Linked DNA regions of Caenorhabditis elegans. The protein of the gene in region 3 interacts with the protein of the main gene of each other region in a pairwise test. Each region holds a gene or a part of one and is shown on either strand. Other genes may lie near its edges.

Region 1 (6,897 bases), on a different chromosome or scaffold from region 3:
AATGGTTCAGCGTCAAAAAACTCTTGCGACATTCGGAGCAGGACCTTTTGCAACAGGTGATTCAAGTGGTGGTCGATTCGGTCATTATACATTTGATGATGCCCCACAACTTCTCGGAATTCTGTTGGCAGAATTTCATAACACTTTAGGTGCAATCATCAAACATTCTGTTCCGAAAGAAAATAATAAAGTTGAGGCAACTTTTCACTTCACAAAAGGTATGTTATATTAATCCAAATAATAAAATGAATTTATGTTTCAGGCTTGATCATTCCAAAACCATCCATGTTCCGTAACTCATTTTCACTGACCATCAAATCTCTTCGCTGCAAAGTTCTCATGTTTCCCGTTGGAATAGATCACAAAAGCTACGAACGTGGTCGTTTCACTTTCGATATGGCTTTCATCGTTGACATGACATCATCTGCAGAAACAATGTATGAGCCAATTGTACAGAAATGCGCGGAATATTTGATTGAATTGGAGATGGAATACAAATTTCTCACAAATCCAAAATACAAGGATCAGGTTCTTGATGTAATGGAGAGAATGTTCAATGATCTGTCGAATAAAGGTAAACTTTGTATTTTTCTATGAATAACAAGATTTTAAATTTAGGCGAAAGTGTGATTGAAGTCAGTCTTGAAGATGAAAAGATTGTGACATTATATTTCAAATTATGCCCATTGTATCGTGGATGTGAACCTCCAGAAATCGATTATCATATGGTTCCAATGTTCATAAGAGAAGTGACGCTTACCGATCATCTCATAGAAAAAATGGATGTTCTGTCACAGAAGATTATTCCTCAAATTGATGGAATCAATACAGTTCGAGAGATTGCTATTATTCTCGAACTTGATCCATCCCTCGTCGCCAGATGTGTTCGTAATTTACACTTCTACGAATGTGTCAGTCTTGTTCCAATGTTTCTCTACTATAATACATATGTGGCAACTGAAAGAGTTCACGACTTTTACAAAAATCAAACGGAAATCAATGACTGCCTTGAGTTTGTGAAAATTCAAACGGAAATCGGTGCAGACGGCTCAGAAATTCCAACGCGAACTCCAGAATTTTCGGATGTGTTCCGACTTTATTTGAGCATGAAAGTGGTGGGACCTAAACTTCCGATCGACGAATCTGATAGCAATCGACTACGTTTTCAGTGCGGCAACAATCTAGCAGAATGGGCCGATCTGGAGAAACCAAGATCGATGGGTATTGATGAACAGCGACTTGTACAATTTGGAATGCATCATCAGTTTCTTCGTAAACTTTCTAAATATCCTATTTGTGTTGCAAACCCAGGCAACAACACGTAAGTTAATCAATTAATACTATCTAATAATATACAATTTTAAGTCTCCTGAAACGGTGTAATGGAAAAACTTCAATTGACGAACTTTCTCTTCAACATAATGTGGACCCCGAACAACTTTGCTCACTGTTGGAAGAAACCGGAAAATTTGAGTTTGTCATGAAATAAATGAAAATCGTGTATTATTGTTTCGTTTTACAACAACTTTTAACAAATAAATTTGATTTATTTATTATGAGAGCACACACCAGGTAAAGGGAATATTGGCCAGTCAGTCGAGACAATCGAGAATAGCAAAACGGGAGAAAGGAAAATGGGATGAGGAAGATGAGAGGGAAAATGAGAAAAGAAGATGGATGATGAGAAGAGGGACGGCTCGATATACCTTTAAAAAGGCCTTACGGGATGGGTGGGGTTTCAAGAAAAAGAATACTGGAGTCCACGAGAACTAAGAGGAGCAGGGTGATTGGAATTTTTGGCCTATCAACGAGATTCTCCGAGAACTAATGAAATCGAGAATGATGATGGATGACTAGGAAATGAGCAAACTAGGGGGATCAGAAGTTCTAAGAAATTGAAATTATGTATATGATAAAGAATTAATAAAAGTAACATGTGAAGAAAATGAAAATACTCGCTTTTAGAGAGAAAATCTGGGGACCGTGGGGATTGGAGGGACTGGGAAAAATGATGAGAGATTTGAAAACGACGCGGTAACAATGATAAAAGGATGAGGGTGGGGGACGCGGGCAATGAACGGGCGCGAATGGGAAACAAAAATGAAAACAAAACTCAACAAAAATGCACAACTCACACACTCACTTTAAAAAGAAATCGAAATATATTATCATAAAACAGTCACTCTCGCACACACGAAGAAGAGGGCGGGGACATTGTAACTAATTAATCACAATGGAAAAAAGATGGTGGATGAAAAAGTGAAATGTTAATCAAATCACTGATGGTACAGAAACAACGAAGAGATAAAGAAAGGATGAGATAATTGACAATCGATTGTAGAAGAACGTGCAAACTCAATTGGTCAAAAAGTGCAAAATCTCACATGAAAGAGAGCTTGCATTTCCGAGAAGCTGGCTTAGGAACTCGCGTGTCAGATGAAAATACACGAGAACCTAACAAAAAGTGAGGTGTGAAAAATAGTAAGACGAAAACTACATGAACATTTGTATGGGAACGGCATGCGAAATTGTTTACGAGAAATAAGACAAAACGTATTTTGTGATTAAAGGAATCATGGAGATCTACTTTCCAAAGTTCCATCCTCCGTTTGGAGCATCAGGAACTGGTGGAACGTCGCCTCCAAAAGCAGAACTTTGAGCTCCTTCCACGTTGCCAGTCTCATCATCGGAACTGAAAATATAAAAACGTATACACCAAACATTCGCACACGGACTCTGAAGATTTTTATCAAATATAATTGGACTCCTACCTGAAGAAGTTATCGATAATTTCGAAAGCCAGTTTGTAAATGTCCTCGTTTTCATGATTTTGAAGATTTTCTATCTTGTCAAGACCTCCGCACTCTTCAATCTCTGATGTCACCTGTTCGGCAGCTTCTCCAGCCATTTTCAGAATGTTGTTAATTCCATCAAGCACTACTTGGATAATCTGCGAATCAGTGCAACTGAGCATCGCACAGAAAGGACGAAGGACACCAAGCTTTACCATTTGCTCAACTTGATTTGGACGGCCAGAGATTGTAACGTTGGAAATAGCCCACGCTGCCTCTTTTTGAGTTGGGAAATCTCCTCGATCAAGAAGATGAATAATCATTGGCATGATTCCGGCGTCGAATACGTCTTGAACTTGTTGTTGGTTTCCAGCAGTTATGTTGGAGACAAACCAAACAGCCTCTTTGTTTATTTTCTCTTTGTAGTGGGCGAGAAGTCCTGGCATAAACCGAAGAACCTGAAATTTAAGATTTGGAAAAGTCATAAATGAAAATTTTTACTCCGCTATCCAACACAAGTTGTGTTTGTTCGTCGGTTCCAGTCACAATATTTCCTACAGCTCGAAGTGCTGCTGTTTGAACTTTAACATCAACGTGTCCAAGGAGTGGAACGAGATGGGTAACAACTTGAGCTTCGATAACCATTTGAATGTGTTCATTTCCACCGTCGGTGAGGTAAGAAAGGGCCCAAACGGTGTCTATGAGGATGTTGGTGTCTTGGTGATGGATCAAAAGTGAGAGGGCGGGAAGAATCGTACGAACCACAGCTGGGCTTGGTGCCGGATCTTTGCACCTGCAGAGATTGACAATAACCCATGTGACATTTCTCAAGAAGCCAATAGGTATCTCCGGGTTAATGAACTGCAATAGTGGCTGGAGAATTCCGAGTTCGAGACAATAATCACGGAAATGTGGTCCATCTCCAATGATGTTACCAAGAGCCCAGACAGATTGCTCGCAAACGTTCAGATTTCCACATGACAGGAGTTGCAGGAAGAGAGGAACGGCTCCGGCATTCACGACGGCTTGTGTTTGCTCTGATGTACCAGATGCTATGTTGGTAAGGGCCCATGCAGCTTCAAATTGCAAGTTTGGACTGAAAATTTACAGTAATTTGATGCGACCTTATGAAAATTCTTACTCCGTGCTGGACAAGCATTGAACGAGGACAGGCAAAATCCCACTGCCAATCAAGTCATCAATTGGTGGATTTCTATCAGTTGATAGCATTTTACGGGCTTGTTGAACAGCAGTCAGCTGCTCAGCGGGATCGCTCGATTGGGCAGCAGCGACTGTCAACCGGAGGAGGTTGGCATCAAATGGACCTGGTGGGGTTGTTGAAGTCTCAGAATCATCTCTGAAAATTAAAACAATTCAAAAACTGGAACAGATAATTTACTGTGATAAGCGTATGAAACACTTTTGTTAGCTCTCATAGCTGAAGCATATAAAATCAGATGAAAAACTCACTCAATTTGGGTATTGATATTACGCCGTTTGGAAATTGCCTCCTCTCGTTTATCCTTTCTGATCGAAACCACCTTAAAATTGAATAATGTATGCGTTAACAAGTTTATCGAACTTACTTCTTCGTTCCTTTTTTCCTTGCCAATTTGCTCTTTGGCATTGTTCTTATAATAAGCCTGTCTGTTTGAACTCATTCTGCTGAAAGAAAAAAACTTGATAAATGAATAGTAGCGCAAGTAAAAAGCAACAAAAAACGTTTAAAAACTGCGGAACTTTCTATCAGAGATTTCGCAACACAAAAAGTATCTAAGATTACAGCTTAATTATTTAAAATAAGAAAAGAGCGATATTGAGAAACTTTAACAGAAATTTTTAAATAAAATCCAATGAATTACATGTAAGATGGAAAGATTTCAGTAGGATTGGGGAAAAATTATAGTCGATAACGAGACAAAATATGTCGCAGAAGCGTCGCGGTTGACACGCAACGCACACAATAGAGCGTATTGGCAGATAAGAGGTCTCACTCGTAGATTTTAAAACTAGGGAAAAGAAGCTCCGGAGTTTTTGGATGGATCTTCTTTAAAAAAAGGAAAACGTGTAAATGTTAAAGATATTAAGAACAAAAAACAATGTCTGATTAAAATGTCAAACTTCGCTTCAAATGGTTTCAAAATATGGCAATTTTAAATACATTTGGGTACCAAGCTCTTTTAACAAAAAATTTTAAATAATAAATTTATTTACTCAACATTCTTTACAATATTAATAACAGCGGATTTTATAAAAATTATAAAGCAATAAATTTTGTGATTGCATCCTACTCGTCGCCGCTCTCATCCTGCACCACCTGAAAAATAATGATATTTATGGTTACATTTGCATTTGCATTTGCATCAAATGCATTTGATATAATACTTTTGAACAAAAAACCAGGAGTATTTTCTAGTCCGAAAAACTTACATTAGCCGTCTTTTCCCGCAATTTCTTGTTGTGTTCCTGGATCCAGGAGAACACCTGATCTGCTTCGGTCAGTGTCGATCCTGTTACAGTTTTCGCAAAGATCTATTGAAAAACTTAAGAAAAGATACACTCCCCAACGCTGCTGGCATGCCGTGTTCACAGAAAAGTTTGGAACTTTTGAAACTTTTCAGACTAATCAGTAGGTTGACCCAGTTGACCCATTGGTCTATGTTCTCTTCGCCGGCCCATGGAAGATTGTCCTTTGCAACTTGAATTGCAGCCTGAAATGGTTCAATTTGAATCACTATTGCGAAGAATATAGTTATAATATAATTCGTTTAACATTTTTCAGTGTTTTACAGGCTTACCTTTAAACCAAACTTGGAATCGTAGGTCTCCATGTAGTTGATAAATTTTATCAACTCATCTCCGCTGACGTCAGTATTTTTGGTGATAAAATCACGGGTAAGCTTTTCAGCCTCAGCACCGCGATTTGCGTTCTCTTCTACAATGACTCGTCCGGTTATTATAGCTCTGAAAGTAAGTCAGTTTCAAAAAAATTGATTAAAAAATGTTGTCTTACTGGCAGTTCGGAAATTTTGCTGCAGCTGATTCAAAAATTTTTCGGGAGCTTTTCAGATTCCCTCTACTCTTAATTTCAGCCATGATTGCGACCTTGCATTTGATTTTGTCCGATTCCAATCCCATCACAAGCAAGGATGTCAATTCCCGTGTTCCGTTTGTCCCGTTGTCCCGTTTTTGGGGTGTTTTCACGGGAACGGGAATTCCCGTTGTCCCGTTTTTAAAATTTTCACGGGAACGGGAATTCCCGCTGTCCCGTTTTTGTCATTTTCACGGGAACGGGATGTCCCGTTGTCCCGTTTTTTGGGTGTTTTCGCGGAAACGGGAATTCCCGTTGTCCCGTTTTAAAAATTTTCACGGGAACGGGAATTCCCGTTGTCCCGTTTTTGTAATTTTTAGGGGACACTGACACCTTTGATCACAAGCAACTTTACTCGGGAAGCGATGGATCCTTCCAGTCTAGATGCATTGATGACTAGCTCTTCACTTGGTGCATGGGCTAAGCCTCCATGTAAAGCTGTGGTCTCGAGGCCCCACCAAAACAGAATGCAGTTCAAAACAGGATTTACCAAAAAATGATGCAGTGGGCGGAGCCAATTGACAACTACTATCAAAATTTATGAATCGATCCTTGGATTTTGCAAAAATTAATTTCTTGTTGATTTTTCAAATAAAGTTTCGATTTTACTTGTATTTTTCTCTTTTTTCGAATTGGATAACATTTTCATTCGAAAAAAAAAGAAAAATCGAAACTTTATTTAAAAAATCAACAAGAAAGCAGTTAAAAAGGGCCGTGGGCAAACCCCACGCGGCAGTGTTGCGAAAGGACGCTTCGCCCAACTTTCTGCACGACAAAAGTTTTTGCAAAATCCAAGGATCGATTCATAAATTTTGATAGTGCCGTATGCTTGTTTCGCAAGCCTCGCACGTTTTTTCTTTTGAAAAAATGCAACAAAATCAAGGAAAAAACGTGCGAGGCTTGCGAAATAAGCGTGCGGTGATTGCGAATTCGCTCCGCCCACTCCATCCATGTTTATATGCATCCTGTTTTGGTAAATCCTGATTTTTACTTCATCAGAAAGAACACATTCTC
Region 2 (6,775 bases), on a different chromosome or scaffold from region 3:
TCTAGAAACAAGATAATTCTGGAAAAGATTTTTGATTATTCTTAGATAGTCTTGTTTTTTATGTACTTATCTGCGAAAACTAGAAATATTTTTAACGACTATTATACTAAAGTTATTATATATATTTTTTAAGGGATTCTTAGAATTCACCTATTTTCATAATACAAATTATAGAGGATATAAAAAATACCTATATAATAGATTGTAGTTATTGTATTTTCTCACTTCCGTTGTCTCAAAAAATGGAACCTCTTCTAATTATCCTTTTCGTTATTTATTGTACAGTTTTTGTAATTGGGACTACTGGAAATTTGATTATGGTCCTGGTGACATATTATTGCAAGTAAGTACATCAACAATTTAAATTTAAAAAAAACAAATTTCAGAAATCTCCGGTCAATTTGCAACGTCCTTATTGGTTTGTGTTGCTTTTACGATCTATTACTTGCTGTTCAATTTTAAAAACCAGATTCCAAAAATCGAATGAAAATTGTTTACGACTCATCTTGCACTTTTAAACACGCAAAAATGTAGAGTGTCAGACAAAAAGATACATTGCCACTAAATTTGTATGTCTATGTAAATATATATGTGTATATATAAATATATTTCAGAACATATGTACATACTTGTTTACTCACATCTGAATTCTCTTCGAGATCTTCTAATATTTTTATTAGTTTTTTTTGTCAAAACTCAAAATCCTGACGGTTACAATTTTTACAAAGAATTAGGTTGCTGGAGTTGCCTCAGTTAAAACCATACTGCGAGTTTTACCAGTCGAACACACCTTTCCATTATCTCAATATATCAAACATTAATCAATCATAAAACTGATATGGTCCCGCCGCAGTTGAAAAAAAGGAGACCGCCCGTCCAAACAATATTCTCAAGTACGTTTACATACCTAGTCGGCACTTTTAACAGTAATCACTGCTTCCTCCTCTTCCGCACCCACTTACTGGATTGTTCGCACCCGTAAAATCATAACTTCCCGACTGTAGCAAGGCGAGGCGGTAGGGAAGAGGGTACTAAAATTGGAGGTGGGAGGGGGGGGACGTTTGGATAAACACAGCATTGGGGTATCATTTTAGAGTACTGTAAGTGATACTGTTTGTGGATATGTATAGTTTTTTTTTTCAATCTAGCGTCTACATTTCCCTTCTGTTTTTAGTCCCGCACGTCATTTTCAGATTTAAAACCAAATCTTGGTTGTGACTTGACTGTCCGCAAATCCGGCAAATAGGCAAAATGCCGGTTTGCCTATTTGTCGGAATTTTCATTTTCGGCAAGTTGCCGGTTTGCCAATTTGATGGATATCAGATTTGCCAAAAATGTTTAGAGGGATTTTTTTTATAAGACGGAAACACTTAAAACTGTGCCTTTTTGAATTTTTTTCCGTTTTTTTTTTTGAAATTTTCATAGAATTTTCATAGAAATAGAATTTCTGATTTGCCGGCAATTTGCCCATTTGCCGGAAAAATCGTTTGCCACCCACCCGTGATGTACTGTACTATTGATCAAAACCGGCATAACTTTGGAGCACTACAAAGCCTTGTGTTCTTTCTATAAAATTTCTGAACTTTGAAAACAAAATTATTTATCACATGTCCTTTTCCCAAAAAACTCCCTTCCTTCTTCTATTAATGACACCCATCTCCCCTCCACACATTTTCCGCGCACACACCTTTCTGCCACCCCTTTCTCAGAGAAACAACAAACCTCCCCGTTTTTTGGTTACTGTTTGCCCATGCCTATCAGTTTTGACATGCTATCATAAAATGGCACTTGCAGGGCATATGTGCGCCTTCTTGGATAATTTTCTTCTAGCTTGACCATCGTCTTCTTGACATGTTTATTTTTTTTCGAAATGCCCAAAAGTGTCGTAATCTTTAGATCAAACATATCATGACCACCATCTACACATGCTCAAGTTTTCTGTATTTTCTATTCTTGGGGGGAAAGAAAAGTTTGCTCAAGTTTTCTGTTTGTTATCATAGGAGTGACCGGTCTGGTGTCACCACACCCCTTTTTTGGAGCCTGGGGAGCTCACTTTTTTGTAGACCAGAAGAGGTGTGTATATTCGCTTAGGATGTTTATTTTTGTGGAAACATTAGTCATTTTTCTTTAGTTTCACGATAGATGCTCTACTAATGAAGGCACGTATTGTAATCTAGCATTAACATTGTTTTGTTCTTTGTGGTGAGTACATAGGTATTTTGTTTTTAGTGAGTTAGTTCCTACGTGTTCAGTGCATTGAGAGTTAGAGCCTTATAGTTAGTAGTTAGTTCCCAGAATTTCGAACTTGAAAGTTCTTAAAAATGGAGCAGCGCCATTGGGGAAAATGCTAAAAACAACTCCTATGGTGTCAAAAATGACCGAATATCAAAATAAAACTTTCAAAAAAATTTTGAAATTTTTCTATTTACTGTCAAAAACTGACAAGTGCTCATTCTTTGCCACTCATAATTTTAGAAGTCGGAAAAAAATTTCTTGCATTTTTTATATTTTCATTTTGTTTTAATTATTTGTTTTAAAAAATTATAGGGGTCGGAACATGCGACACTGCATTGAATTTCCTCAAAGGCTCATATTTTTCAATATTTTGGCAATGTGCCAAAACTTTGACCTGGAATTATGAGAAACCTAAAATTTTTAGGAGTGTTGCATCATGATATTTTGTCGCTTTGGTTTAATATAAGTGAGACAAAATTCTCACAGGCGCTACTCCACCTTTAACTTTCTTATCTCTTGAATATTTCGGTTTGAGTGTGAATTCTCTAAATATCAAAAAGATCCAAAAATTTTGCTACTAATTCCCCCTATTTGTATATACACTTGTGATATGACGTAAAAACATATTCACAAGAACTACAACTTTCGCTTTGAAAATTCACAACAAATATCGAAAAGTAAGCAGTAGGCAAAGAAGAACGCAAGACTTTTATGACTTGAAATGTATTGAACGAGAATGAAGACGTCACATTTGTGCGTGTGTGTATGCACAACGGTATTACATGGTGTTGTTGTAGTGTTGGAATATTTGTACTATCTACTAGTAGAAGTTGCCTTACTTTGGCTTATGGTTAAGATTTTCACTACAAATTTAGAACTATGCATACAATTAGGTTCAGGCATTACATCTTTTTTTAACCACAAAATGAATTAGTATTTGCCTATGCTAATTTTTATTTGACCTTCTGTTACAATGTAATTTTTGAAAATTCGTTTCAGAGTCTCACTCTTTTTTGGTGATTTTCAATTTATCGTTATTCATCTACAACTCCTTCCAGATGTACTCTAGCATAGTCCCGTCTAGTTCAAATGGTTACTATCATCAGTCTCAATACCAAAATGCCCATCACCAACATCATCAGCAGCATTATCACCAACAATCTCATCATCATTATAATGGAGCAGCTGCGGCTCCAGTCATCAATGTTCACAACTATCATTTTCATACGGGACCTGTTAATAATCAGGTTTTGTATTTAATTGAAGTTTTTAAATTCAATTTTCTATTTTTTGAGGTCATCGAGCAGCACTACAATCATCATAACCATGTCCAACAAACTTTCGAAGAAAATATTCCACAAGGCCCGCACAGTTCTTTCAATTTTTCCCATGACTTTCCACAACAGAATAATTCCGAAACTCACCTCAATCACATGGAACCTTCGATGACTCCAATGGAACATCAAAACTCGGGAAGCTCGACACCATATCCGTTTGAAGCCAAGTTATTCGTTCCATCGCCTGCAGCGTCTGTATCCAGTTACTCATTTTCAAGCGATTTGTCGGGTAAAGACGAGGAAGATCCCAGGATTCCTTTAAAAGATCGTGGAAGAGTATATCATCCGCAGAGCACTGAAAAACCAAAAAAGGTGCCGAGTAAACGGAGGGATAAGGCTACTTTGGATCGATTAAGAGTTCATAAGTGTTTTTATCAAGGTAAGTTGCAAGCGTGTTTAGCTTAAGCTTGAATTTCATTTTCAGGTTGCGGCAAGGTCTACACAAAAAGTTCCCATCTAACAGCTCATGAGCGTGTTCATAGTGGTGAGTAGCTTACAGAACCTCATTATACATAATTAATCATATCCTCCTCTTCAATGTCGTGAACAGCGCGCACTCGTCGGCACATTGTTCTGTGTAACGGGATACTTCCGTTGACAAACACGCTTCTCATCAATCACTAGATACTTTTTGTAACGAATGCACAGGAATCAACTACTGTTGCTATGTTATGTTAGTCCATATCAATATTTGGCCTTGTCCGGTACTTCGCGGCATCCCCCTTTTAGAAGTATCGAATAAGGAGTTGTAAAGTATCAATAAACTGTCAATTAAGTGCGTGGGCCTATGGATATAAGAATTAGGAGGGTTGCGGGAAAATTGGAAAATAATAACTTACCCAATTCCTAATGCTTCGGAAAGTGTGGAAAATGCGAAAGTTGCTTGCAGGAAGAACGCCTGAAATATCTATTATATTTTGGTTTATCTGGTGATTGACGAAACTCAGAGTCGCGATTTGATCTGACACTGAGATCGTCAGCTAAGCTTTTTAAAATGTTTTTTTGCTGCGAAAATCTAAAAATTTATAAATTTGCAACTGCTTCTTGGGAAATTAGCTTGCTTTTTATTTCTAAAACGGTAAGATGTAAAGTTTTCAACTTTTATGTTAGTTGAGCACTTTTTTTTAATTTTGAGGTTTGAGAAACGGATAGCCAAAGTCAGTTTTATACAGATCCGGTCGTAAATTTTCAACAACTTTTGATATCCGCAGCAGAAATTAAGATTTTTCAAGCTGAAAATCTCAGCTTTCAAATGATGTTAGTTTCACACCAAATGGCCACTTGGAGTTTTGAACATTCCCTAGTCAGCAGCTTGCCAAAGTATTACCTATTCGATAATAATCTTCTCATTTAGGTGAAAAGCCGTATCCATGTGAATGGCCTGGATGCTCTTGGCGATTTGCACGATCCGACGAGCTAACCCGCCATTACCGTAAGCACACTGGAGCCAAACCGTTTGCATGCAAAGAATGCTCCAGGAAATTTTCGAGAAGTGATCATTTGCAGTTACATATGAAGCGGCATGAAACGGATGAACAAGACGATGGAATGGATGATTTCAAGGATTTCATGACTTTTATTTGAAGATTTCGTTTCATTATGAGTGAGATGATACGTTTAATTATGAATAAACAGTAGATTGAATCCTTTCACATATTAAGAACAATGTAGTTCTTTGGCAAATTATTGAGTGGCGTAGTTCCAATTTTTGTGACAATCCGGCAGAAAGGGCATTTGATGTACCCTTGCCCGACAATTTTTTGAACACATCCCATGCACATCGTGTGACCACAGCCTGAAAATTTTCAGTTTTCTACTGAATTTAGAAAAAAATAATTTAAAACTAACCCAAAACTCGCGGAGTCTGATCCATAGTTTCTCCCTCAAACTTGCAAGCACAAATTTCGCAGGTTCTCCATGGGAACGGTTCTCCTCGTTGCTCTTCCTGACTCTTCACATGAAATTCTGTCAATTGGTTCACTCTCCTTCGATACCCGTCTGTGACTCCCTGCTCTTTTTTCACTTGTTCTTCGACGCGAGACATATCGTCTCTGAATCGCAATTTGAAGGAAAAGTCGTTAAGTTGCTCCTTCAAACTCATGTTTTCTCGCAGTAATCGTGCCATGTGTGATTCTTGAATAGTGAATTCTGTATTGACTTTCAGGGTAACCCTTGACAGTTCTTCATGATCTTTCTTCAACTTTTCCACTTCACTCTTCAACTTTTCATTCTCCGCGGTTAATCTCAATTTGACCTTGTTGGCTTCTTCCTCTGCTCTCAACTGTGCACCATTCTTTCTTTGGTCCGCGTGCCTCGAGCTACGTCGCAACATGGAAATTCTGAAAAAAAGTATGATTAGTTAAATGAGTAAATGAGAGAGTGGGAGAGTATATTTGAATAAATTAAAGGTTGCATATGAACAGAAATTGAGAAACATAGTAGAGCTGGATGAAATACAAGTATTATCTTATCAAAGTGATCATAACATCTCTTGAATAATTAAATAATGATTAAATAAGAAAAAATGGGAAAAGAAAACCTTTGCGGAAACGCAGAGCGCGCCGAACTGGGAGGAATAATTATCGATTCGCCCTATGCCCTATGCGACGAGCGTTTCTTCCCGGGAGGCAAGTCTTGTTGAGTAGAAAATGGGGTTCCTGAAGATTATAGATCAGTAGATCAAAAATGTTTTGACCCAAATTGAAAAGAAATTTACCAAATTTGCCGTGGTCATCATAGTTGGTAGATCGCAATATTTTTTGGAATTTAAAAATTGCCAAAAAGTTATATGTTTGCTTTCATTATGTTTCTGATCAACACCATTAATTTTGAGCAACATTTTTAATTTGTGTATATCAGCATTTGCCGAGCTCGGCAAATTCGGCAAGTACACATTTTTGAAGTCTGCCAAATTTGCCGGTTTGCCGGATTAGCCAAAAAGTTTCATTTTCGGCAAATTACCGATTTGCCGAAAATTATTAGAAGGTTTCTTAAATACGGAGTTCAAGCTGTGCCTTTTTGAATATTTTTTCCCTGTTTTATTTAATATTTTCAAATTTGCTTGCTTTTTAAAATGAATGTAGGAATATTCATAAGATTCGCCCAATTTTGTCGATTGAAATTGAAATTCTGAAATTTTCAAAAAAAAAAAACTACAAAAACGGAAATTGCCGAAAGTTTTCAGCAATTTCCGTTTTTCCGGC
Region 3 (6,392 bases):
CTGACTCATCTTCTATTCAAGAATCGCGCCGGCATGTGAAAATTCCCGGGAAAAATTCGAAAAATTCTAAAATTAGTGTGAACAAAGCGAAAAAATTGGAACCGAGACGACGATCGGACGAAGATCGTGTTCCAGATGGACCATACATCGGGGAGGGAGAAGTAAAATCGGAGAATTTCGCGGCGAAAATAAAGGAAACGTTGAGAAAAGGTGGGGTGGCCATGATTTATAGGGTCGCGAGACTATGTTTAGTTGATATTTCGATAAAACATCTGTGAAACCATTAAAAATCACAAATTTCCCGCAAAAAATCAAAGAGAAATAACGATTTTTGCAGAAAAAAACAAAGAAAATTAAAAAAAAATTTTTTTGAAAAATGAAAAGTCCGCAAATACGCGTGGCGGTGTTTGCGTATTTCACCAACTACCGTACCCAAATATTATTTTTTTCAGCTTCCGGATCACGAATTTCGAGATTATTTTCAGCACCATAATCTAAATTGTTATTTTTTCAGTTGTTAAATAAAAAGGAGACTCATAATGAATTCATTTTATTTTATCACATTGCAGATTGATCACATTTGAAATGCGCAACTATATTTTGTATTAGGAACAGTAAATACAAGAAAATGGGAGACAGAAGATGAGAGAGAACCCGTAAAATGTTGATTTTTCCATATAAAGTATTAAAATATTAAAAACAAAAAAAGAAAACAAATTCCACTAAAGTGTCAACAGGGATTTTGAAAGAGCATCTAGCTTGAATAGTTCGAAAAGTTCCGCCGATTTGTAGGTTTCCATTATTAATTGATTCATTTCCTGAAAGAAATAAACATTATTTTTTAGTCTCATTTATCAGTTGTAAATGAAAACTTACAAAAACAGTTCCCATTAACAAAATGAGATTTCCTATCCTCATGCCAGTTTCATCAGGATTTCCGTACAAATCATCATAATAATTGTGTAATCCGTTGAGCAATGCTTCTTCGTGTTCCTTCCCGATTACTTTCATACTTGGAGTAAATTCACAGTAACCTACAAAATATTTGATTTTTATTAATTTCTCACTAGATGAATTCTAACCCAGTTTCCAAATGCACAAAGCTTTAAGAGCTGCAAATTCCACGTGTGTCATTTTTAAATTCCGGATCGGCCGGCAAATAGCGTCATTGAAGCGACCCAAAAAACCAAGAAATAGCCTGAAAAATAATATAAAATTCAATTGACCAAAACATTCAAGTTTTCAGGACAATTATTTGATGCAACATGAATGAAAAAAGGTCGTAGTGACCTTATTTAACAGTAAAGTTATTCCTAATTCACATTTTCTATTTGAATTTCAGTTTGTGTTATATTAACTTTAAAAAATTTTTCTTCATGGTGCATCGATAGCCAAAAATTTGGTTCTCTCTAGAGAGCTCTCAATTCAAAATATGCGCCCAAAATCAAATTTTTCCTTATTCCAAACGAATAAGTGCTCAAAATATTGAATGAATTACTCACTTTTTCTTATCATGCGCACAAATATCCTCTTCATCATCCCATCCATACGATAAATTATTAACTGTACACACACTTCCATCCGTATACATTAAAACTGGCTCGGCGGCTTCTTCTGGGTAAGCTTGTACAGTAATCCAAGCGATATCCAGCAGGCAGTAGGCTAATGAACAACTTCTAAAGAAGATTGCCTTTTCCACTCGACTAAGAAAATCGAATCCGGGGCAACATTTACAAAAGTCAAATGCCAGGAGATTATCGAATCGTTGAGATTCGTATTGTCGTTTCAGAGAGTGAGGAGGTGGTTCCGTTGCGTCAAATGGCTGCAAATTTGACCTTTTCGACTAGGAGTATAAAAAATGTACCAATAAGCCACGCCCATTATTTTCAACCTGTGCACAGTTTTAAACTTTAAATTTTACTTCAAAAACTGTGCACAAGTTGAAATAAATTCCGATTAAAATGGGAAACTCACCACATCGCCTCGATCATCAATGACAGCTAAAAGTGCAGTATCCGTAAAAATCATTCGTCGCCGGTCCATTGAGTTTTTCAACTGATCCACATAAAATCGAAGCAACTCTTCTCCGTTCATACTGAGGATTTTCGATTCTGCCAGTTTTGGAGACGGTGCTGAAATTACTTGATTGGGTAAGTTTTGTTTGAAAATACTGAGATGTCCCTTTAAAAGTACATGACGTCTTTCTCCGTGGGTCTTGCCACCACTAAAAAACTCACATCTTTCCAACCTCTGCGTTGATCCACCACTCGTTGACGGGATATCGCTGGGGTCAAACTTCTGAAAATTTAGAAAAAATATAAATGTTTAAGTTTTTGTTCCTAGAGTTTCCATGGCAGGCAGGTTTCAGTCCTACATGCCTGCCTAACACATGTTTTTTTTCTAGGTCTTATTGAAGGCTTGAATATTCATAAGCACTTACAAAGTCTGCCATCATTGGGCTGTCATTTGGAAGAAGTCCGGGCGGCGATTTTTTCTCAATCGACAGAGGAGAATTGTCATCAGTTTGGTCTGAAGTATTTGGGTTTTTTCAAAAAGGAGTTAACGGGTCTCGCCACGATACATTGAGTCACGCGTACTTAATGCATCGTATTTTACACGCAAGTTTATTAACTTCAAAAAGAGCACTCACCTCCAGAGCATTCAAACTTGCACTCATCATATTCCATCTTAATTTGATCTTCTCTCAACATATTCATATGTTTCTTCGGAATTTTCTTATTCGACCTTCTTTTCTGTACACATTCTCGCCGCATACCAGCTTTCACACATTTATCGAATCGACAAGCTCGGCAAATCATTCGGAGTTCTGGAAAAGTAGTTTTAAAGTGGGTGTGTAGGTAAGTTGCAACTCCGATTCTATCACGTAAGCCTTCAGATCGGAATATGCCTGCTGACTGACCCGGACTACTCCCAAAATATATGTGAACAATCTTTTTTTATTTTTCGAGTCTATCCCCTAACCTAGAAAAACCTATAAAATGTTGAGCGCTGCATAATATATTTTTTTCCGTTCTATGAAACGTAGAACATTTTTGGTTATTTGCAGGACCTTAAAAATTCGGCCACATTTCCAGATGCTTACCATGAAATATCACGCAGTTCTTGTCCTTTTTGCACTGAAACTGAATATTCAGCGATACGGTCCTTCGGAAAAACGCGGCACACGCCAGACATGATGTACTCCCAAAATGCGCGGAGCCACCATCTGGATGCTCACAAACAAGGCATTTGGATGTGGGTGGAATGCCACTGTAACCACCACTTGATCGTTCTTGTTTCATTCAATGTTTTTTGACAGCTGAAAATTATTTTTATGAGCGAAATGTACACAGCCAGATGAGTAACAAATATATAAGGTCAATATTTAAAAAAAAAGAAGTTCAATTGACCGGAGATAATACGTTCAGAGAAAAAATATGATGATCATCTGTATGAGTGAAATAGAGTGTGAAATTGTGCATGACATTTTGAGGAATACTATCGCGAAAATAAATGAAACCGGTCTCTCCTAGCATCATGATCTCTTGAAATTGCGCGTTGAGATATAGTCTATTTCTGACAGCATTTTATACAATTTAAAACGTTTCTGCATAACTGGCATAATTTTGTACATTTAAGAACTGACGATTTTTCAGTAACTTAAATTTTTACACCGAGGGTACTAGTCAGAAATACTAATAATTTGGTTGCGACATGTTATCCTTTTTCAGAGATACAGAAGCTTAAAGGCACATGGCTCCAAGTTAATTTTTGTAAATTTGCAAATTGTAAACCTTGGCTATCATGTAAAAGTTTAAACAACAAAGGAATTACTGTTATACATAACTCTCCGAAAAATATTTCCCCACGCCTCTTTGATTCAATTATTGGATAGATACAAAATAGGATGTGTGTAGGTGGTGGAGCTGTGATCTATGTTATTAATATTATAGTAATCTATGAATTGTATTAATATACATCTCGAAATTGATTGTTTTGGATGAAAATGTGATCAGTTGAAAATACTTACCGTGTTTTTCCGATTGGTATTTTTTCCTCTATGAGCAGTGTCAAGCTTTGTTTTCAGGGCATATATTTTTTAAAGTCAAAATAAATAAATATTTTAATTATATCAAAACTTTGTGAAAGTTTGAAAATACAATCCAAAATTTGAAAAAAAAAATGCCAATTTGCCATGCAATTTGAATGAGAATTCGAAAATCTGGAAACTTTTAAACTAACGATAAATAAGTTTGTAAATTTTTAGAGTTAGAGGTATTTTCAGTTTACACAAAATTTTCATGGTTTATATTAATTCTAGGTTTTGAAATTTGCCAAATTTTCCAAAAAACGACCACTGCTGAGATTACCGGTATTTTTCGATTGCGATCCTTATTTTTTGCAGGTGAAAATTTTTTGCTACGACTCATAAAAATTAAGTTAAGAGCTGTTGAAAGTTGCTCTAATATTGTAAAGCTTTCCAAAAAATTTTTGAATTTTTTTTTCACTAAAAAATTAGAGATTGCTATGTTTTTACCTACCATAATATTGGAATTCGGCCAAAAAAGTTTTCTCTACGATTTTATATTTCAGTTAGGCTTCAAAAATTTGCATTTAACGAGTGTAGGGCTGCTCATAACTTATTGAAAATCTAGAACATTTTAGTGAATCAATTTTTAGACTATTTCGACAAAATCCAACTTTTCTCTGCTTTAATGTTTAAAATCATTAAAAGGAGAAAATTAAATTTATTATTTTTATCCATCAAAATCGTTTCTCAGAAACACTTTTCTTAGTCTATTTTCAGAAGAAAAGAGAAAGGAAAAGCCTTTCAAACTTGTCCCTATTTACAACTAGACTCTAGTTTTCTATGCTTTCATCACATGTTTGCAATGTCCCGAAAAGCGGAAAAAAACACACGTGGGAATTTTTTGAAAGTAAACATTTTGATATTCCCCAGATAAAAAGTGATATGATGCTGATTCAAGTGATTCATATAATCAAATAATTAGTAGTGACGTGATGTTAATGAATTCTGCAGGGATTCAAAGAGATCAAAAAATTAAACCTGGTTTCAGATTTCAAAAAAATTTGGCTGCATTCTTGAAACTCAGTCAGATTGTTTGCGAATAAATTGTTATTTTGATTCAGAAATTTTAAAAATAGTCGTGAGAGGGCGCAGACCAATCAGCGATGCGCAGTGGGCGTAGCCAACATAGGTGATTGGTCGGTGGCCGCCTTTTTTGCGTGGGAATTTGAAATTGAATTGGCAGAAAAAAAAATAATAAGGGGAAATTTCGAATAGAAAATTGTTTTTTGGCAAGTTTTGATTTTTTTCGAATATAATTTTGTTGAAATTCGACGAATTTTAAAGCAATTTCCAAAAAAAAGTGTTTTTAGCAAAAAAACGTTGTTTTCTCTGCAAATATCAATTAGTATTCAAATTTGATAAAACCTAAACAATTCTAAACATTTTCTGAAAATTAAGCAAACAATGTTCTAGAAACAATAAAATTATAAGCCTAGAGATTTATACCCCAGGTCCAAAAATTTGTTTTTTTTTCGATAACGTCTTCCATCAAACACCAGTCACAAAAATCTCAAATTATTAGATCAAGAGAGCATTCTGACCAAGCAGAGGGGGGATTAATCGAGCGACGACTGGAATAAATTTATTAACGGGAGCTTTAGGTCGTCTAGAAATAGACACACGAGGAAGAGAAAACTACGCAGACTAAAAAATTTAATATATTTTTGTTTATGCTAAACAGAAGACCAAGCTATATAAAATAAGTTGAACTTTGAATTTTTAGTAGAGAACGATCAGAAAAATTATTTTCGACAGCATTATCGTTCAGTCGATGCACCATAAGTTTAGCTTAACATTTTTCTAATTTTCTGGGAGGTTATACAAAGTGATTTGAGAAAATTAGAGGTCGAAAATTTATCATAATTCACAAGGATTTATTGTATTAAAAAATACACTTAATAGAAGATCATAAAAGGGTGCTATTCCCAAGGAAACTACCAAAATGAGCTCATAGAGATGCGTTCTAGACAGGAAAAACAAGGTGTTCACTGCACAGACCACTGGCACGAAACTCCAAATTTTGTTCTTCTTCGATCACTTTTTCCAAGGGGAAATTAGAATATTATTCATTTGTGCACATTAAAAATAAAAGGAAAAACAAAAAGTCCAAGGCACAAAATTTCGCAAGGAAAAACTCCAAAAAAATGAGAAGAGGGTATAGGAATTTCAAAAAACTGGTTGAGCAAAAAAAGATCGAGTTTCAACTTCAAATATTTATATTTTGGTCAAATATGTGTTGTTCGCCCTTTTGTGATTCAAATAACCGGAGACAATTGATTAGAAAAAACAGAGAAGAAAAAGG
Region 4 (9,508 bases), on a different chromosome or scaffold from region 3:
TGATTTTTTTTCTCTAGCAAACTGTTAAGAGAATGTGGAAAGCAACTAGAAAAACGTAGCGAAAAAAAATTAAAATTATTGCAAACTGTTCAAGTCACATATTTCAACGCGATTAGTTACTGTGTCACAGCGGGATGTCAGCACAAAGGACATTAATTGAAATGTATGGAAAACTGAACAACGGCGTTGAAACATTGCGGGAAAATGAGATTCAGCAAGTGCAGTTTGTCAATTGAAGCTCAAACTTTGAAAAAGGAATGTAACGTTAAAACTTAAAAGTGAAGTAATGTATAATCAAAAAAAAAAAGTTTTATGATTTTCAAATTGTTCTATTTTCAAGTTTCTGTTCTTTCTGGGAATTTCCGTCGAAGATTGTTTTTTTATTTGTCGAAGATTGTTTTCCTATTGTTTTTTTTTGGAAAAAATTGAAAAAATTGAAAAAAAAAAGCAAACTTTGGAAAATTTTAAAACAATTTTTTACACTTCCGTCTTTGAGATTAAAAAATTTAATTAAAAAAAATAGTAATTCCTGGAAATTATCAAACTGAATATTCATAAAACGATATTTTAAAAAGCACCGGAATTTTTGTTTTTATTGTTTTCTGAATTTTTAAAATTCATAAAATGTAAAAATGTAACATTTGTTTATAGTTCAAAAAATATATTCAACAAAATTTTTTGAAAATTTTTTGTGCATAAAATTGTGAGGAAAAAATTGCAAAATTTCAGAATCCAGCAAGCTAATTTTTCATTCATCAAATTATGTGAATAAACATGAATTTTTAGGTTTAATGCGAAATTGTAAAAAAAATATGGCAAAAACTGGAAACTTCGCCAACCGTGTTTCTCAATCATGTTCTGTCAGATAACTGACGAAAGGCACCTGCAATTTGTGTTGTGATAGTTCTACTTTTTATCAATCTGCTAACAAATATAGATGCAGTTTGAAATAAAACAACAACCCATAAATAGTTCAAATGTCCTTACAAATGGCTATAAATAAAACTGATCTAGTAGTCGCTAATCTTGACAAAAATATGAGAAAGAGAGCCACTATTGTTGGTCCTGCAGAGCACAATGTTGATGCATTGGGTTCTTGGCAAGTCCCCGTGGGACACTGCCCAACTGAACCGGATTGTCCGTAGTGAGCAGCACACGACTCATAACCATATACGCTGGGCCAATGTCAATCACAGACTGCCTGCCAATCCATTTAGCCGTTTTCCTAGCCACCATGACTTTTTTCTAGTATTCTATTCTCCAGTATGTTTTCAACAAAATTTATTTTGAAATGGGAAGAAAATTGATGGGACAGTGGGACAGAGAGAAAGCTTGATAAAATTACTATTCTAATCGGAAAGAAATGTTTGGGATGGGTGGAACAGATAAGGAGGCCTTCAAAAATTCTGAATATCAGTTGAAGTTCACTAGTTTAAAATACATTCGAAGAAATCATTGAAATTGTACAAATTTTGATGAGGGGTGGTGGTGAGAAAGGAAAATAAAACACTAACAACAAAAACCTAACAATGCAAGGTTACGGAAAAAATTAACGGGTCCAAAATGACTTTTGACACGTGTGCAAATGAATTGAAACAAGATAGAGAGCAGAATCAGGAGAAGATGAAGAAAGTTTTTAAAAATGTAAATAATGATATTTGATGGTTTAATATTGATGAGAAATAGACAAAAACACGGGGCAAATACTTTTGATAGAGACAAAGAGCTGTTGAGAATCAATGAGAAGAAGCAGAATCATTCGTTGTTTCCCTGTTATGAAGAAAGAAAGTGACAAATAAAGAGGTAATCAGAATTGACTGTGAATATGCATCGAAAAAAACCGAAGAAAACCGAAAAAAAAAACAAAAATTAAAATGTGGATGAAAGAATGGGGGTGTTTTGGATTCGCTAGACTGACTACTAAAACTGAAAGGCAATCGGGGGGATATTTCTTGGATGATGGTGAATTCAGGCGGAAGTCGTTGCTTGAGTACTATGATCGGCAAAAATGACATGAGTAGTGAACATGTACTTCTCGCCGCACTGAGTTCCGCACAATGCGCATTTGAAAGGATCACCGTCCGAGTGAAGACTTTTATGGAGCAGGTACATTGTGTTGTCGTAGAACATCATTCCGCAATGACAGCATTCCTAAAATAATTCTAGAGTTAGATGCCATTAAATGAGTAACGGTTATGAGTGTTTTGAGTATATATACAGAAAGCGCACGAATTAACGAGCTTTGCAATGAAGTTTCTAACAGAAACTTTTTAAAAAGTTTTTTTTAATCGAAATTTGAATTTTTGAAAAAACCTGCCAAATTCTAGCTAAAAACTGCAGCAGTCCGAACTTTTTTTTGAATGGTATCAGCTGCTGCGAACCGGAAAAGGCAAAGGCCGGGCTTTTAGCTAAAATTAACTCTTTTTTTTTGAAATTTTTTGAGAAGTCTCATTGCAAAATGTTCAAAATACCTAAAACCTATAGTTTTCCTTTAAATTCAAATTTCGGAAGAGAAAGTTGATAGTTCTGATAAGGTGGGTGATGTAGAGAATCCATCATCCTTCAGATTTCAAAGAAAACTTGTGACATCTACGAGAAATTGAAAACCTCCTCATCAAACTATACATGGTGTAATGTTCGGTTTTTCTATCTCTTTTTTTAGATTTTTTCTCAAATGAGAACGTTCCGAAAGTTGCAACAAATTGGCAATCATTTAATCAGTCTATGTTTTTAAGGTTGATAAAACCAAATTTTGGCATCAACAAAGAAATGGATCAAAAGTCCCAATTTTTGGAAAAAAAAACTCTGTTGACGATGCTCACAATTCTAATTGCACTTCGAAAAAAGGTAAACAAAATGGTGACATTTTCAATAACAAGTTGTTATTAGCGATAACACATACCACATTCTCCTCGTCTTCTTTTTCGGGAGTCGGTGATTTCTCTTTTTCAGTTAACGAAAGTGATGACTCATTGGCTGGCGGCGAGTGCGACTGTTCACTCGGACTTGGAGCACTGACACTCACAGAGCTTGACGTCTGCTCTGACCAGAGTTGCACCTGATCCTGCTTCACAATCGCTGCCACTGCTGGAATGTTGTGAAGAGCCTGAAATGCAAAGGTTAATTAGCGAAAGTGTGAAGGTTTCATTGATACCGGCAATGGAATATTTGGAATGTTGAGCATTGGTCTTGGGATGTTTTCTCCGAATCCATTGAACTGGTTCATTTGGTTTAGACACATCAACAAAATATCTGGGTTAGCCATAGGGAAGCTTGGTGGCTGAAAATAAAACCATGGAATCATGGAAATGCTTTTTATTCAAAAAGAAACGAAAGAAAGATTCTTACAATTTTGTCGAATTCAGAACTTGTGGAGTTATCGGAGGTGTCGGTGTTTGGAGGGCTAAACTCTGATTTCACCATTCTTTGCAACTGTTCTGTTATGCTCATGTTCGCAGGATCCATTGGCAAAGCATTTCCATTCGACAGCTTCTTCCTTTTTGGCGTGTTTTCTTTTTTCGGAGAAGACTGAAAATCAGAATGAGAAATAAGAGTTCACGTTCAGGATATCACATGATGAGAGAGATTCCACGGAAAGTGCGTCTCTTGGGGCAACCGAATTAAGCTCCGAGAACGAGAAAAACATCACCTAATAAGGCTCAGGTTCTGCTCGCTAATCATGTGTTACGTTTCCGTGTAATCTGAAGTTACATCTCTTACCTCAGAATCGTCATGTCTTGTCTGGAAATGAAGGAGAAGACGTCGCGAATTGGCGAACATCAAATTACATCGCTTACATGACGCGGGATTTGTTGACGAAATTGTGTGCGTTTCTTCCAAGTGTGCTCGGAGTGCATTGTGCTGACTAAACTGCATGTTACATTGTGATACTGGACAGTCGAAACCAAAACCCGTTTTGATATGTGTCATTGAATGCTCTTGCATCTGAAAGTTATAGGTTTATTTTAAGTTACATGTTTAAAACATGACTACGGTATGTTTTTAACATCTAAAAATCGGTTTTCACTTTCACACAATATTACAATTTACAATTTTCTCTGGTTTTCTCCTCGCCCCGCAACCTTTGTCTTTCATTATAAAAACCCCTTTTGATGCGAGCGAGGGTGATGGCTTTCAACTTTTCGGGAACCAATCAGAGACGCAGCTAGAACAAAAAAAAAACCGCCGACGGTTGGTATTTCTTCTTTTTTTTACTGATTGGCCCTGGGGGTAAGGTACACAGTAAAGAGCGGCAAAAATATGGAGACATCGAGAAGATGCTAGAAGGTAGGATGGGAGGTAGGATCTTCCGAAGAAAATGCGCGTGCTATCGTCAAGGTCTTTTACTTCTCATCTTCACCAACGTCGTCGGATAGTATGAAGAATCGGAGAAGAAAGACGCGCCAACCGTTTTCATATTCGACGGCATAACCTGACACCAATACCGTCAAATTGGTTCCCCCCGATTTTCCTGTTTTCTTCAGGCTCGTCGACCTTCAAGAACGGTTTTGGGCAAACAGATATCATCAGAGCGCTTGAAGAAATGGTTGATGGGCACTGCGGCAGTTCCCTGCCATCCATGGAAGAGACTCTTCTTATTTCCGGGAAAGTGAAAATATCCAAATTGAAAACGACCTTCAGGCGGCAATCCGCCGCCTCCTTCTTCCCTCAATTTCCCTTTCCTTACGGGAGATCAGTTTCACTTTCCATTTGATTACGTAAATTGAAGATAAAACACGATTTTTGAGTTACGGAAGGCGGCAGCGGCTTCTTACGCAACAGCCGTTAAATGGTGGGGCTAGGAGGTGGAGGGTAATAAAAAATATGCCAGACAAGCATACCTGATCTTTCCTGAAAAATCGTTTTTTGCAAAAACGACACTCGTATGGCTTCACACCGCTGTGGCGCATCCGATGACGATGCATGTTAGCCTGAAAACGCAACATTGATAAACCACAGGAAGAAAGTGAAAAGGGAATCAAAGAAGAAGATCAATCAGCACGATAACCATACTTGGAAAATCCAAATGATTCAAAAGTTGTCGAGTGTTTGAAAACCAGATTCCGATTCAGAAAATGTTTTAAAAATTGCTCACCTTCTGGCTGAACTGCATTTTACAGATGTCGCATTGGTACATTTGGCCTTGATGGCGTTCATGCGCTTCCTGAAATGTTCAAGAATCTTCACTGGTATGTCATGTGATTTCTAAGGTCATCACGTTTTTTGTACTGCCCCCGTATCTGGTCTTCCCGTTTCTTTTTCCAAAAACGCCTCTTTTTCCTCCCATCTTCTTCCACCCATCCCAATCTCTACCGCTTGATGTCACTACATAACCGAAAAAGGGAAAATCTATGTTTTTTTTGGTTTGGTTTCTCGGAAGATTCTGCCTTAACCAATTAGTATGACACCGGCTCACATGAAAGGCAACATCCTTAAGAAGAAAAGCCAATATATGAGGAGCCTGCCTCCTTCTCCCATACCACTCCACTACTACTCATCCCGATGACCGTTCGGGAAGTGATGGGATTGGCCGTCGGAACAAAAAACAGTAGGGTCAAGTGAGAGACGCAGTTAACTGGACAGTAGATAGAAAGTAAACAGTAGTTTGTGAGAAAAGCGGCATGGAGCGAGTGGGAGAAGAGAAAAGGTTCACGGAGTGTTGACTTACAGGACCCACCTTACAAGGAATTGATGAAAAGTGGAAAAGAGGGAAATTGAAAAGACTTTCATATCCATCAACAGATTTACATGCTAAAATTAATTTGTACCCTTGGGAACATGCGTAATAATGTACTGAAAGTATCTTTCACTCTTCCGTCACCTATAGAACAAGAGAATGCTTTCAAGAAAACGGGTAAAAATCCTTGAACCTACCAAGTGGCTTTTCATGTGTTGCGACATACAAGTGGTGAAATTACAGTGCGGGCAAACGTGAACCGTCTTTTGTCCTTTGGTGCCTGGTTCTTCTGAAATTTTTAGGTTTCACAATTGCATATTGGTACTTGGTAATTAACCATCAATAGAAATACATTCCAGTGTGTAAGAAAATGCAATTCAAAGAAAACTTACTTTTGATGAGAGTGTTTGTGATTTCTGTTATCGAAATGTGATGTTCAAGATGTTCATCCGAGTCCGGACTCGGCGTTGGATCTGAAGGGGGCGTGGACCGTGGCGACGGCGTGGACGACTGAATACCATCTCCCCACTCGATTGTCTGAAAAGCCTTGGTCTCAATGTTTCTAACGAGTCTCAGGGGGCATGTCTGGAAGACGTGTTACAACGTCACATCCAACATCCCTCCCCTCTTCATTTTTTCCACGTTCTGTTGTTCCCTCACATATCTTCTCTACCTCTGGCACTAATTAGGCAAATATGGCATTATGACGCAACCTTTTTTCTATATCTCTCACTCACACGCTCTCACTCTTCTGGATGAATTTTACTCTCCCATAACATACCTGCGAGTTAGACATTTCTCCGCTTGAAGACCTGCTGTGCTCGTTTTCGTGCTTCTCTGCAAAAAAAAAGTATTAGGGGGTAATGTTGCTAAATGTGAAACGCAATAGAAGCGGGTTAGTTAATGGGTTGAAGCGCTCACTAAACCGCTACAAATCCGAATTTTTACGGGTTTGTCTCCGTTCTAAGATGAAAAAAAGATGGACAAAGCGCGGGTAGGTGGATGTTTCAAACGAATTGGCATTCATGTATCACCGAACAGGTTGGTTACCTATATGTCCTTGAAACTCGGAAAATACAGTAGTCGTGAATCCGCATTCTGTGCAAGCGTTCAGTTCATCCATTGTTGAGATCACTGAAATGATAACCATAGCAAAATGAAAAACCCTGACAGGGAATATCTGGTAATGAGACGAAAATGGGCGACAAAAAGAAGAACAACGAGGAAAAATAGGGGAAAAAAGCGAGGAATATGGCACGACGAGACTTGCACACAATAATCAGGTGTGTTTACGGATGGCAGAAGATAAGAAAGGAAATGTATAGGAAATGGTAACAGGCGGATATAGGAATATATGGGAAAATTGGAAAATGGAAATACTAAGAGTGACTGGAAAAATATGTATTATCGGAGCGAAAAAAGCGGAGGAGGGGGAAAAGGAGGAGCCGGATCCATAGGTATGATCACATTGACAAGCATTTACAACGGCTCGCCAAATTACTGGTTACGCGCCTGGATACGAATTTGGGGAGTAGGCAGTAATTTATGGATAGCCAGCTTCTTTAGCAACCACTGCGAGTTGGACTTGTTATGAGTGTGTTTGATTTAGCGAGAGCCTGGTCCACGGTTTTGAGAGCAGCTAGGTGACCTCGCCTAGTTGTTTGTCGTCTCGCGGCGGCGGAGGCGAAGAAGGACCGAGATACGGTTTCCGGGTTTGGCCAAACATCTCAACCCGATGCCTCCCCGTGTACTCCATAAGCTGCTTCTCCGGATTTGACTTGCACTCATAGCGACGAGCTACTGTGTGCTTACTATATTTGTAAGAGAAGTGGTAAAGTGTGTATTCGCTGGGCAGTAGGTATCTTACGGACCTTTACGAGGAGCAATAAGAAAAAAAAGTTGATGAACATTAAAAAAAACAGGAGGAACTAATATGGATTAATTATCGCATCCAGACATGGTGTGTAAGATACGAAACATCAAAACATATATACTATTACACAAAATTTGCATCATAAACACGAAAAAGAGATTTGATGGATTGGGTGGATAGGGTAAAAATGTTATAAAATGAAAATTTTCAATGATCAAAATCTGAAACCAGCACAAAAATAAGATTCAGGAACCTGAGAAAAAAGAACAGGATCTCAAGGAAGGCAAAGTAATGCCAGGTGGATTATAGCACAATTATGTTGATGATTGCATGGCTGTGTGTCTATACTGGATTACTGTCAATTGCGCGTAACCACCACTACAAGTTCGAGACTAGCAGGAAGGTGGTCTAGATGGACAGATGGTGCTAACAGGTAATTGAGATGGGTGAAGTGACTGGAGAGCAAACTCGCATCTAGTATGACGTTACGTTTGCGGAGGAGAACGGTAAGATTGCGATACATAAATCTAGGTTCTATGTTTTAGGTTCTAGGATAGGAAGAGAAATTTGGGGTGTGAGGAATGGTGGGGAGCAAATATGGAGTGAAGGAATCTCTGGGGGTGGGGCACCGCAGGCATTGGATACGGTAGAACTAAAAGTGCAAAAGCTGGCAAACTGATATGGGGCGGATTACACCTGGGGGTGGCAGGGCGGAAAAACGACTTTACGCGGATGGCAATGAAAAAATGAGATGGCGGGGATCGAGGGGGGGAGGAGGTGACGGTTTCTGAATGGCATTTACAAGAAGAGAGAAAGGGGGTGAGATAGTGCGTGTGTCGCGGGGTGCCAAACAAGCTTTTTTGGGAATACGATGAAGAAAAAAGAAGAAAAACGATGTAGAAGAAGAAACTGTCGATGGCAGCAGCAGCGGCAGTGGCGGCAGGCAGCAACGGGCATCATCTCTATCTGTCGCCCGGGGGCGCAAGATGTAAAGAAAAAATCGAGCTGCGCGCACCTCATCAGAAAAACGCAGCGCCCACCCCCACACACACACACACACTCACACCGTTTCGTTCGGAAGAAAGAGAATGAAAAAATTGGAGAGAAGGCACTGGGGGAGAGGGGATGCCGTTGCGGGTGGCCTAGAAGGTCGGCAAGGTTAAAGTGAAGACGACGGGATCTTTTCAGACCATACTAGCTGCAGCAGGGAGACTTCCTCCCTCTCCGCACTATGTCTCCTCCTTACGATGGAGAAAAAAACCCGGTTTTTTGTGGCAGTGAGAAGAGCGTCTGGAACATAGTAATGACCTTCCAATAGATAAGGCATGTGGAATTACAATTGGATGAACATTTGGGAAAACGTCAAATGTAGATAAAAAATTGGAGGGAGAACAAGTGATTTTGACGATCTCGTGGTTTTCCAAGGATTATATATCATTCTAACATTATCTCTGTGGTTTTTTGTCCGTTCGGAAATGTTACAAAATTAGAAGACAAGGATGTTAGGAGAAGGTGTGAATGCTTGCATATGTGTCTTCTTCCTGTATGTTTTGTTGTTTCGTCTGAACGTATGATCAAGTCAAACATCTACAGTGTCACGAAGATTTTAGTTCCGAAATTGATTTTAATTTTCATGTTTTCAATTTGTTTTGATCTTTAATGAGTTATGAGAGCACCAAATTCACAAAAAGTACAATAATGTTTCAATAACCTTGGAAAACGACGTGAAATTTTTTAGGATGATAACCAAAAAAACAGGAATTGAAAAATTGACACTTTAGGTACCGACATACGTCCTCTCATCAAGAACCTTGGATTAGGAAAGAGATAGTGTGTATGAAATGTGAAGAGTGAGTCACGGAAAAAGAAATACAACTTAAAAATGAAATCAAGTATCCAGAAAAAATGTATCGAGAAGACAGCGAGACGCGAATTCATTGATTTTATTGAGTCAAGGA

Evidence for each region.
Region 1: the proteins of nhr-20 (region 3) and ima-3 interact in a two-hybrid assay, tested with the Caenorhabditis elegans proteins (one large-scale study listed by BioGRID).
Region 2: the proteins of nhr-20 (region 3) and klf-2 interact in a two-hybrid assay, tested with the Caenorhabditis elegans proteins (one large-scale study listed by BioGRID).
Region 4: the proteins of nhr-20 (region 3) and ztf-16 interact in a two-hybrid assay, tested with the Caenorhabditis elegans proteins (one large-scale study listed by BioGRID).

The regions. Positions count from the first base shown.
Region 1 is NC_003282.8:7,557,208-7,564,104, forward strand, and holds ima-3 (Importin subunit alpha-3), read right to left. Parts: upstream 4,458-6,897; 5' UTR 4,454-4,457; coding exon 4,379-4,453; intron 4,334-4,378; coding exon 4,263-4,333; intron 4,150-4,262; coding exon 3,934-4,149; intron 3,889-3,933; coding exon 3,294-3,888; intron 3,251-3,293; coding exon 2,772-3,250; intron 2,693-2,771; coding exon 2,584-2,692; 3' UTR 1,534-2,583; downstream 1-1,533. Other genes in the region: nprl-2 (Nitrogen permease regulator 2), read left to right, coding at 2-218, 263-574, 619-1,321, 1,366-1,489; F32E10.9 (TPR_REGION domain-containing protein), read right to left, coding at 5,306-5,503, 5,591-5,756, 5,806-5,930. UniProt on the Caenorhabditis elegans protein: Binds specifically and directly to substrates containing either a simple or bipartite NLS motif. Promotes docking of import substrates to the nuclear envelope. Seems to act as a cytosolic receptor for both simple and bipartite NLS motifs.
Region 2 is NC_003283.11:20,683,615-20,690,389, forward strand, and holds klf-2 (Kruppel-like factor 2), read left to right. Parts: upstream 1-2,068; 5' UTR 2,069-2,084; intron 2,085-2,115; 5' UTR 2,116-2,202; intron 2,203-3,293; coding exon 3,294-3,482; intron 3,483-3,530; coding exon 3,531-3,951; intron 3,952-3,996; coding exon 3,997-4,056; intron 4,057-4,926; coding exon 4,927-5,156; 3' UTR 5,157-5,216; downstream 5,217-6,775. Other genes in the region: F53F8.3 (RING-type domain-containing protein), read right to left, coding at 5,222-5,367, 5,421-5,904. UniProt on the Caenorhabditis elegans protein: Probable transcription factor which regulates lipid metabolism.
Region 3 is NC_003281.10:4,229,901-4,236,292, forward strand, and holds nhr-20 (Nuclear hormone receptor family member nhr-20), read right to left. Parts: upstream 3,320-6,392; 5' UTR 3,303-3,319; coding exon 3,104-3,302; intron 2,828-3,103; coding exon 2,651-2,827; intron 2,530-2,650; coding exon 2,441-2,529; intron 2,299-2,440; coding exon 2,238-2,298; intron 2,133-2,237; coding exon 1,975-2,132; intron 1,823-1,974; coding exon 1,503-1,822; intron 1,199-1,502; coding exon 1,083-1,198; intron 1,035-1,082; coding exon 877-1,034; intron 819-876; coding exon 723-818; 3' UTR 536-722; downstream 1-535. Other genes in the region: F43C1.5 (uncharacterized protein), read left to right, coding at 1-210, 453-493. UniProt on the Caenorhabditis elegans protein: Orphan nuclear receptor.
Region 4 is NC_003284.9:4,804,726-4,814,233, forward strand, and holds ztf-16 (Zinc finger protein ztf-16), read right to left. Parts: upstream 6,816-9,508; 5' UTR 6,801-6,815; coding exon 6,728-6,800; intron 6,515-6,727; coding exon 6,459-6,514; intron 6,215-6,458; coding exon 6,070-6,214; intron 5,967-6,069; coding exon 5,875-5,966; intron 5,521-5,874; exon of another isoform or gene 5,383-5,520; intron 5,165-5,382; coding exon 5,096-5,164; intron 4,932-5,095; coding exon 4,842-4,931; intron 4,780-4,841; exon of another isoform or gene 4,639-4,779; intron 3,946-4,638; coding exon 3,721-3,945; intron 3,529-3,720; coding exon 3,349-3,528; intron 3,281-3,348; coding exon 3,155-3,280; intron 3,107-3,154; coding exon 2,903-3,106; coding exon of another isoform or gene 2,819-2,902; intron 2,152-2,818; coding exon 1,969-2,151; 3' UTR 1,273-1,968; downstream 1-1,272. UniProt on the Caenorhabditis elegans protein: Positively regulates the expression of ver-1 in the amphid sheath glia of amphid sensory neurons. Together with ehn-3, plays a role in somatic gonad development and is required for proper gonadal primordium assembly and somatic gonad precursor cell morphology.